Xenopus tropicalis: one gene and its partner. Each later gene encodes a partner of the first gene's protein in a complex. Links are inferred from orthologs where the notes say so. Each region holds a gene or a part of one and is shown on either strand. Other genes may lie near its edges.

Region 1 (4,137 bases):
ATTCTGATAGACTCAACAGGGATTGAGGCACGTGTGAAGGTGAGCTGGGATTTAGCTGGCTCTAAGGCAACTGTAGCCTCCACCTAGTACAAAACTACAACTCCCATCACCCTCGGGAGTTGTAGCTTTGCACTAGAGGGAGGCCAGAGCATAAATTTTTGGTTGAAAAGACCTGCTGATTTTATCTAAAGGTTATTTGCTAAGATACATTCATGTGTCAGTATATTTGATAAGCCGATGATAACAAAGCCTGGCACACGTTGCCCTTTACCCAGCCTAGCTACATAGGCCCTTCCCAACAACCTAGCATACATACCCCTGTATCAGAAGCCTTTCACTTGTACCAACAGTCTGGTACATATAGCCCTTTACATACAGTGTAGCAAATATACCTCTTTGACTACAGCCTGGCACATGTATCATTGTACTCAGAGCTTGAGAACTCACATACATATACCTACAGCCTGGCACATATACCACTGTACCCACTGCTTGGCACTTATGTACCTATACCTATAGCCTGGCACATATACCACTGTACCCGCTGCTTGGCACTTATGTACCTATACCTTCAGCCTGGCACATATACCACTGTACCCGCTGCTTGGCACTTATGTACCTATACCTTCAGCCTGGCACATATACCACTGTACCTGCTGCTTGGCCCTTATGTACCTATACCTACAGCCTGGCACATATACTACTGTACCCGCTGCTTGGCACTTATGTACCTATACCTTCAGCCTGGCACATATATCACTGTACCTGTTGCTTGGCCCTTATGTACCTATACCTACAGCCTGGCACATATACCACTGTACCCACTGCTTGGCACTTATGTACCTATACCTACAGCCTGGCACATATATCACTGTACCTGTTGCTTGGCCCTTATGTACCTATACCTACAGCCTGGCACATATACCACTGTACCCGCTGCTTGGCACTTATGTACCTATACCTACAGCCTGGTAAACAGCCCCTTCCTTTATCTAAAGCCTGGCACATATACCACTGTACCCACTGCTTGGCACTCATGTACCTATACCTACAGCTAGGGATGCACTGAATTGAATCAGAACACTAAAAATCATGTGCCTTTTTGTCATATAAACACAGAAGTTGAAATTTTTTCAGCGCAACCTGCGCACGAGGCTCGCTTTAACCCTTCCCTATCCTAATTTACATATGCTTGGTATTTGGCCGAATCCTTTACGAAGGACACTGAGTTTGACGGAATCTGAAAATAGTGGGTTTGGTGCATCCTACGTATAACCTAGCACCCTTAGCCCTTTACCTACAACCTGGCACTAACAAGGCGACATTGGAAAGTTATGATCATGGCCCTAAAGCCTCCTGCTTTAAAAGCTGCACAGCAAATGGTTAAAAGGGGGAGGGATACCCATTTGCTTGAGTACATTCATAAACATTTACCCTTGCCATTTGCTAATTGTAGCAATCACATAGTTAAAAAAAAAAACAATGCTGCCAGCTCTGTATGACATTTAATACCAATCTAAATTTAGATATAAACTATAATAATTGTGCAACCCACTGCCATAGTAGCTGTTTGACCATTGTGTGTGTTTATATGCAGAATTGTTCCACATACATACACAGGTACATAGCATAGTTTTGCTCCCCAGAACTACCCATACCTATAGAGCTGGGTTGAATTTTAACTCTCAACTTCAACCAGTAGCAGGATGGCCTTTGGTTTATTATAGAGAGGACTCACAAGTGTACAATCTATGATAACCCACCATGCACGCCTTGTACCCTTCACCACTCCTCCATGCATGCCCTGTACTCTCCAGCCATCCTTTACTCCCTGTACCATTTACCCACACACACCCTGTACCCTCCTGCATTCCCCCATACATGCCCTGTACCCTCCTGCATTCCCCCATACATGCCCTGTACCCTCCTGCATTCCCCCCATACATGCCCTGTATACTATAGCATTCCCCCCATACATGCCCTGTATACTATAGCATTCCCCCCATACATGCCCTGTATACTATAGCATTCCCCCCATACATGCCCTGTATACTATAGCATTCCCCCCATACATGCCCTGTATACTATAGCATTCCCCCCATACATGCCCTGTATACTATAGCATTCCCCCCATACATGCCCTGTATACTATAGCATTCCCCCCATACATGCCCTGTATACTATAGCATTCCCCCCATACATGCCCTGTATACTATAGCATTCCCCCATACATGCCCTGTATACTATAGAATTCCCCCCATCCATGCCCAGCACACCCAATATTGCTAACTAGCCCCTTCACTCCCCAATATTCTCTCAACTCCAGACTTGCCCAGTGACTCCCAGCATGCCCCCATCTCAAAATCATGTGTTAAATGTACGCTAGCTTATTGGCCCAGAAGTTTAACCCCTGATGTTCGCAGGAAACATGCTGCACTTACCCTGACCATTAAAGGGCCTGTGTGCACAACATATACACAGGCATACCCACCGAATACCGGGCCAGAGTGAGATTTAAAGGCCCATATGGTAGCAGTGCTCCAAATACCCCCAAAGGCGTTACATACACCATTCCCAAGCAGCCTATAGCGCCCCCATTCTCTGCACCCGTGGTACTATCCTACGCCCCCTAGCGGCACGGTGCAGCCACTACTTACCTTGTCCTGCCTGAGATATCGGGAGATTCCACTCTCCGGGAACCCCCCTCACACAGAGGGGGGCAAGAGCGCTCTTCTCGTACCCACTATCTCCCGGTGCCTCTCCCCACACATCAGATTCCTCCTGGGCCGGGAAGTTTGGGGATCTACTCAGCGTACGGTTCACGCCCGGCCGGCTCCAGCTCCCTCCTCCCCTCCGCCTGTGCTGCCCTCCCCCGGGTCCGCCTGTCCCTCCTCCCACTGAATCAGCCCTGGCCCAGCCTGTCACTCCCGTTGGGGGGTCTCTGTACTGCCCCAGTGACACCCAGCCTGCTCTCTCACCACAGTCCGGGGCGCTTATTAATTCGGCCTGTCCCTTTTTGTCTTTCCCCTTTGTCCTTCCCCTTTCATTTGCATTATTCCCCTCTCAGATCCCACCTCTAATCCCAACACTTCCCCCTCTCTCCTCCTCCCCTCCCAGAGCTAGCCTGGCTTCCCTTGTCTTCCTTTCTCTCATTCTTCCCTGGTGAGTCGCACCGACTGATTCACTCAACTAGAGGAATTACACAACCCTATACTTCTCCCCATACACCCAGCACCCACCCCTCTAGTACTTCTCCCCATACACCCAGCACCCACCCCTCTAGTACTTCTCCCCATACACCCAGCACCCACCCCTCTAGTACTTCTCCCCATACACCCAGCACCCACCCCTCTAGTACTTCTCCCCATACACCCAGCACCCACCCCTCTAGTACTTCTCCCCATACACCCAGCACCCACCCCTCTAGTACTTCTCCCCATACACCCAGCACCCACCCCTCTAGTACTTCTCCCCATACACCCAGCACCCACCCCTCTAGTACTTCTCCCCATACACCCAGCATTACATTAACATTTATTTATAAAGCGCCCACCCCTCTAGTACTTCTCCCCATACACCCAGCACCCACCTCTCTAGTACTTCTCCCCATACACCCAGCATTACATTAACATTTATTTATAAAGCGCCCACCCCTCTAGTACTTCTCCCCATACACCCAGCACCCACCCCTCTATTACTTCTCCCCATACACCCAGCACCCACCTCTCTAGTACTTCTCCCCATACACCCAGCACCCACCCCTCTAGTACTTCTCCCCATACACCCAGCACCCACCCCTCTAGTACTTCTCCCCATACACCCAGCACCCACCTCTCTAGTACTTCTCCCCATACACCCAGCACCCACCCCTCTAGTACTTCTTCCCATACACCCAGCACCCACCTCTCTAGTACTTCTCCCCATACACCCAGCACCCACCCCTCTAGTACTTCTCCCCATACACCCAGCACCCACCCCTCTAGTACTTCTCCCCATACACCCAGCACCCACCTCTCTAGTACTTCTCCCCATACACCCAGCACCCACCTCTCTAGTACTTCTACCCATACACCCAGCACCCACCCCTCTAGTACTTCTCCCCATACACCCAGCACCCACCTCTCTAGTACTTCTCCC
Region 2 (4,036 bases), about 3.6 Mb from region 1:
TGATCATTTTTACTGGTGAGCACAGACAAGGAAGAGGTTAAAATAAAGAATTCAAACCTGACAAGGATATACAATCAGGGTAATGCAGCCAGTGTTTTGGGGATGGACATTAACCTGTCATTAGACGTCCAGAAGCCCTATCATTAAACCAGCACAGTTCTCTGCTAAGCGGCACAGCGAGACCACTGCCTGGGAGTAAAATCACAATAATGCAACAACCCTGCTCAGTGTATTAAATAAACTCAAGCAAAGACAGACACTCTTGATACAATGTATTATTTTATAATTCGTCTCCCAGAAGGCAGAAATGTAACTCTTGATTTGTTCATTAGATAGACAGTATACAGCATACGCAGATTCCCAAACTGTGCAATAATCATGCCAGGGTATGAAAGGTGGCATTTCCCACGAATAAAAACGGGAAGTGAGATGTGAGAATGCCCTGTGTTACATGCAGCCATTTACTTACAGTACAGAGAAACAGGCACTGTACATACTCTGGGCCTGAATGCACAAACATTCAGCTGAACCAAGGAGCGGAAAATAAAACTATTATTAGAAGTTAGAATAAACAACAGCATTGTTATTAAGCTTCTCTGAACTAAAATGCTGGGATTTCTACCCCATAAGAGGGAAGAAATAACTGCAATGAAAGGAAATAAACACATTTCACCTGCAGAAATGGCTTGTTAAGCATGGCAAGTCTTTCCTGCGTTAGCCAGGTATCGGACCTCTTATCCGGAAACCCATTATCCAGACAGTTCCGAATTACAGAAAGTCCATTTCCCATAGACTCCATTTTAACCAAATAATTTGCATTTTTAAAAATGGTTCCTTTTTCTCTGTAATAATAAAACAGTACCTTGTACTTGATCCCAACTAAGATATAATTACCCCTTAATGGGGCAGAACAGTCCTATTGGGTTTAATTCATGGTTAAATGATTCCCTTTTCTCTGTAATAATAAAACAGTACCTGTACTTGATCCCAACTAAGATATAATTACCCCTTATTGGGGGCAGAACAGCCCTATTGGGTTTATTTAATGGTTAAATGATTCCCTTTTCTCTGTAATAATAAAACAGTACCTGTACTTGATCCCAACTAAAATATAATTAATCCTTATTGGAGCCAAACAATCCTATTGGGTTTAATTACTGTTTAAATAACTTTATTAGCAGACTTAAGGTAGGAGATACAAATTACAGAAAGACCTCTTATCCGGAAAAACCCGGGTCCCGAGCATTCTGGATAACGGGTCCCATACCTGTACTAATTATAAACTATAAATTGATTGTATTCAGGCTTAATCATATACAGAATGACACCCAGGTCTGGGGCCACAGGTTGGGTGTATATATTCATAGGAAGGTCCTAACAAGGACCAAGAAGTTGGACACAAGTACAATATATATTAAATACATTACAGGAAGTGCTGCTCCTGGCTATTTGTCTTTATACATATACCAACACACAAATGATATAAATATTATATATCTGTGTATAAGTATAAATCGCAAATTCTACACAAGAAACATAGGCCAATATCATTATTCTCAAGGGTTATTTCTAAACCATTCATGAACTGAAACCTGCTGAAAGCCATTGACACCAATGTGCAGAGAGGGTTTATCTTCCTATTACACAATTTGCTGGAGAATTCTTGATCACCGTTACCATTAAAGTATAAACTTTGCACAATGAGAGACAAATGCTAAATACCAAAAGCCGATAATAAAGCACCTCGATATTCAAAAACATGATGAATATTTGATAAATCTGCCTGTAAACGTGCATGGCTTTGTGCCTGTGTATATCAGCCTTGTATACTGTATATAGCCATATATATATATATATTATACAGACAGTAATGTATATGCAGACAGTACATTCCCATAGTGCACAGAGGGTATAGCCATATATATATATATATATATATATATATTATACAGACAGTAATGTATATGCAGTCAGTACATTCCCATAGGGCACAGAGGGTATAGCCATATATATATATATATATTATACAGACAGTAATGTATATGCAGTCAGTACATTCCCATAGGGCACAGAGGGTATAGCCATATTATATATATATATATATATATATATATATATATATATATATATATATATATATATATATATATATTATACAGACAGTAATGTATATGCAGTCAGTACATTCCCATAGGGCACAGAGGGTATAGCCATATATATATATATATATATATATTATACAGACAGTAATGTATATGCAGTCAGTACATTCCCATAGGGCACAGAGGGTATAGCCATATATATATATATATATATATTATACAGACAGTAATGTATATGCAGTCAGTACATTCCCATAGGGCACAGAGGGTATAGCCATATATATATATATATTATACAGACAGTAATGTATATGCAGTCAGTACATTCCCATAGGGCACAGAGGGTATAGCCATATATATATATATATTATACAGACAGTAATGTATATGCAGTCAGTACATTCCCATAGGGCACAGAGGCTATCACACATGCAGGAATTCCGCTAGAAGGGAGTTACGTGCCTGACAGGCAACACGATTAGCCCCAAGCAGCCGGCTATAAGCCCCCAGGATGCCCCCCCCCCCATGCAGAGAGTCAGGGCCCGGAAGCCAGAGAGCCGCTCTCACCTGATAGTTAGACCCCCAGCTGTTCTTCCTATCAGCCTCATGAAACTCCTTCTCCATATCCATATCCATGGCCGAGACTTCGCCTGTGTAAGCTCTCCGGGGTGTGTGACTGCCTCTCTCTCTCTCTCCTCTTCCTCCTCCTCCTCCTCCTCCTCCTCCCGCTGCCTGACACAACTGCACGCAGCCGGAAGCGCGCACTCCCACCTCCTTCCCCAGCTGGGAACTTTGGCGTCACTTCCGCTTCTTCCCGGGAACCAATGAGTGAACGAGGCTCAGGGGAGGGGCAGACCCGGAAGCGGCAGCGTTCCCCAATGGAGTTGGCAGCGGTGCGAGTATAATCCCACAATACACCGCGGCGAACCAATGTTCGGCAGTAGCCTCTTTTCCCTGTGCCAAGCAGGGTTGCCAGGTTGGCGGGTATTCCGTTAAATTGGGCTACTAATTGAAAGCCCAGGCGGGTTTCCAAAGTATAAACCAAATGTGGCCTAGTTTTGGAAGCTTTGGCGGGTTTGTAGTTTGGAAACTAGCCAAAGTTTTATTTCTGACATGCCTATCCCAGTGCATGCTGGGTAATGTAGTTTGGATCTTACTATTAGCCTACAGGTAAGGTTAATATAAAACTACAATACCCAGCATGCAATTATAGACAGAAGCTCCCTTTTCTGTTCCTCTGTACTGAACCTGAAGCCTCAAAACTACTATAACCTGCATAGACTGGGCACAGAGAGCAGGGAACCAGTCATCCTAGTACCTATGCAGGGCACGGGAAGTGATTATATGCTTTAAAAAAGGCATGTTTTTTAGACATTTTTTTCATTAAGCATATTAGGCTATTTTTGGGCTTCTTTCAAAGTGGCTTTTGGCTAGTTTTGGGCTGGTTTAAGAACTGACTTTGCCTAGTTTGGAAAAATAAATCTGGCAACCCTGCCCACAATACACTGCAGCAAACCAATGTTTGGCAGTAGCCTCTCTTCCCTGTGGAAAGTTGCATTTTCGAGTGGAGATAATATGGAAATTTAGCTTGTGTGCAGAGTCATGATACATTCCATCCTCTTGTGATCAGTTTTATTCACTACTTCCCTGCCTGCAAGTACAGAGAAGGAATGTTCTGGGCACACAATAAGCTGTACCCTCATACTGTACTGTCTAAGGGAAACACTATGGCACCTCTCTCCCATATGTATAAATACAAATATACAGAGAAAGAATGTTCTGGGCACACAATAAGCTGTACCCTCATACTGTACTGTCTAAGGGAAACAATATGGCACCTCCCTCCCATATGTATAAATACAAATATACAGAGAAGGAATGTTCTGGGCACACAATAAGCTGTACCCTCATACTGTACTGTCTAAGGGAAACAA

What was found. The genes of interacting proteins can lie anywhere in the genome.
Region 2: the proteins of src (region 1) and ptpn1 are in contact, whole or in part, in a crystal structure (PDB 3ZMQ), measured with the Homo sapiens proteins. The link is inferred for Xenopus tropicalis from reciprocal best matches to the Homo sapiens genes SRC and PTPN1. Residues at the interface, in NP_005408.1 of Homo sapiens: Glu527, Gln529, Tyr530, Gln531, Pro532; in NP_002818.1 of Homo sapiens: Arg45, Tyr46, Arg47, Asp48, Val49, Asp181, Phe182, Ser216, Ala217, Gly218, Ile219, Gly220, Arg221, Ser222, Gln262.

The regions. Positions count from the first base shown.
Region 1 is NC_030686.2:39,477,121-39,481,257, forward strand, and holds the start of src (proto-oncogene tyrosine-protein kinase Src), read right to left. Parts: upstream 2,820-4,137; 5' UTR 2,658-2,819; intron 2,527-2,657; exon of another isoform or gene 2,451-2,526; coding exon of another isoform or gene 2,442-2,450; intron 1-2,441. UniProt on the Homo sapiens protein: Non-receptor protein tyrosine kinase which is activated following engagement of many different classes of cellular receptors including immune response receptors, integrins and other adhesion receptors, receptor protein tyrosine kinases, G protein-coupled receptors as well as cytokine receptors.
Region 2 is NC_030686.2:35,908,145-35,912,180, forward strand, and holds the start of ptpn1 (tyrosine-protein phosphatase non-receptor type 1), read right to left. Parts: upstream 2,836-4,036; 5' UTR 2,739-2,835; coding exon 2,670-2,738; intron 1-2,669. UniProt on the Homo sapiens protein: Tyrosine-protein phosphatase which acts as a regulator of endoplasmic reticulum unfolded protein response. Mediates dephosphorylation of EIF2AK3/PERK; inactivating the protein kinase activity of EIF2AK3/PERK.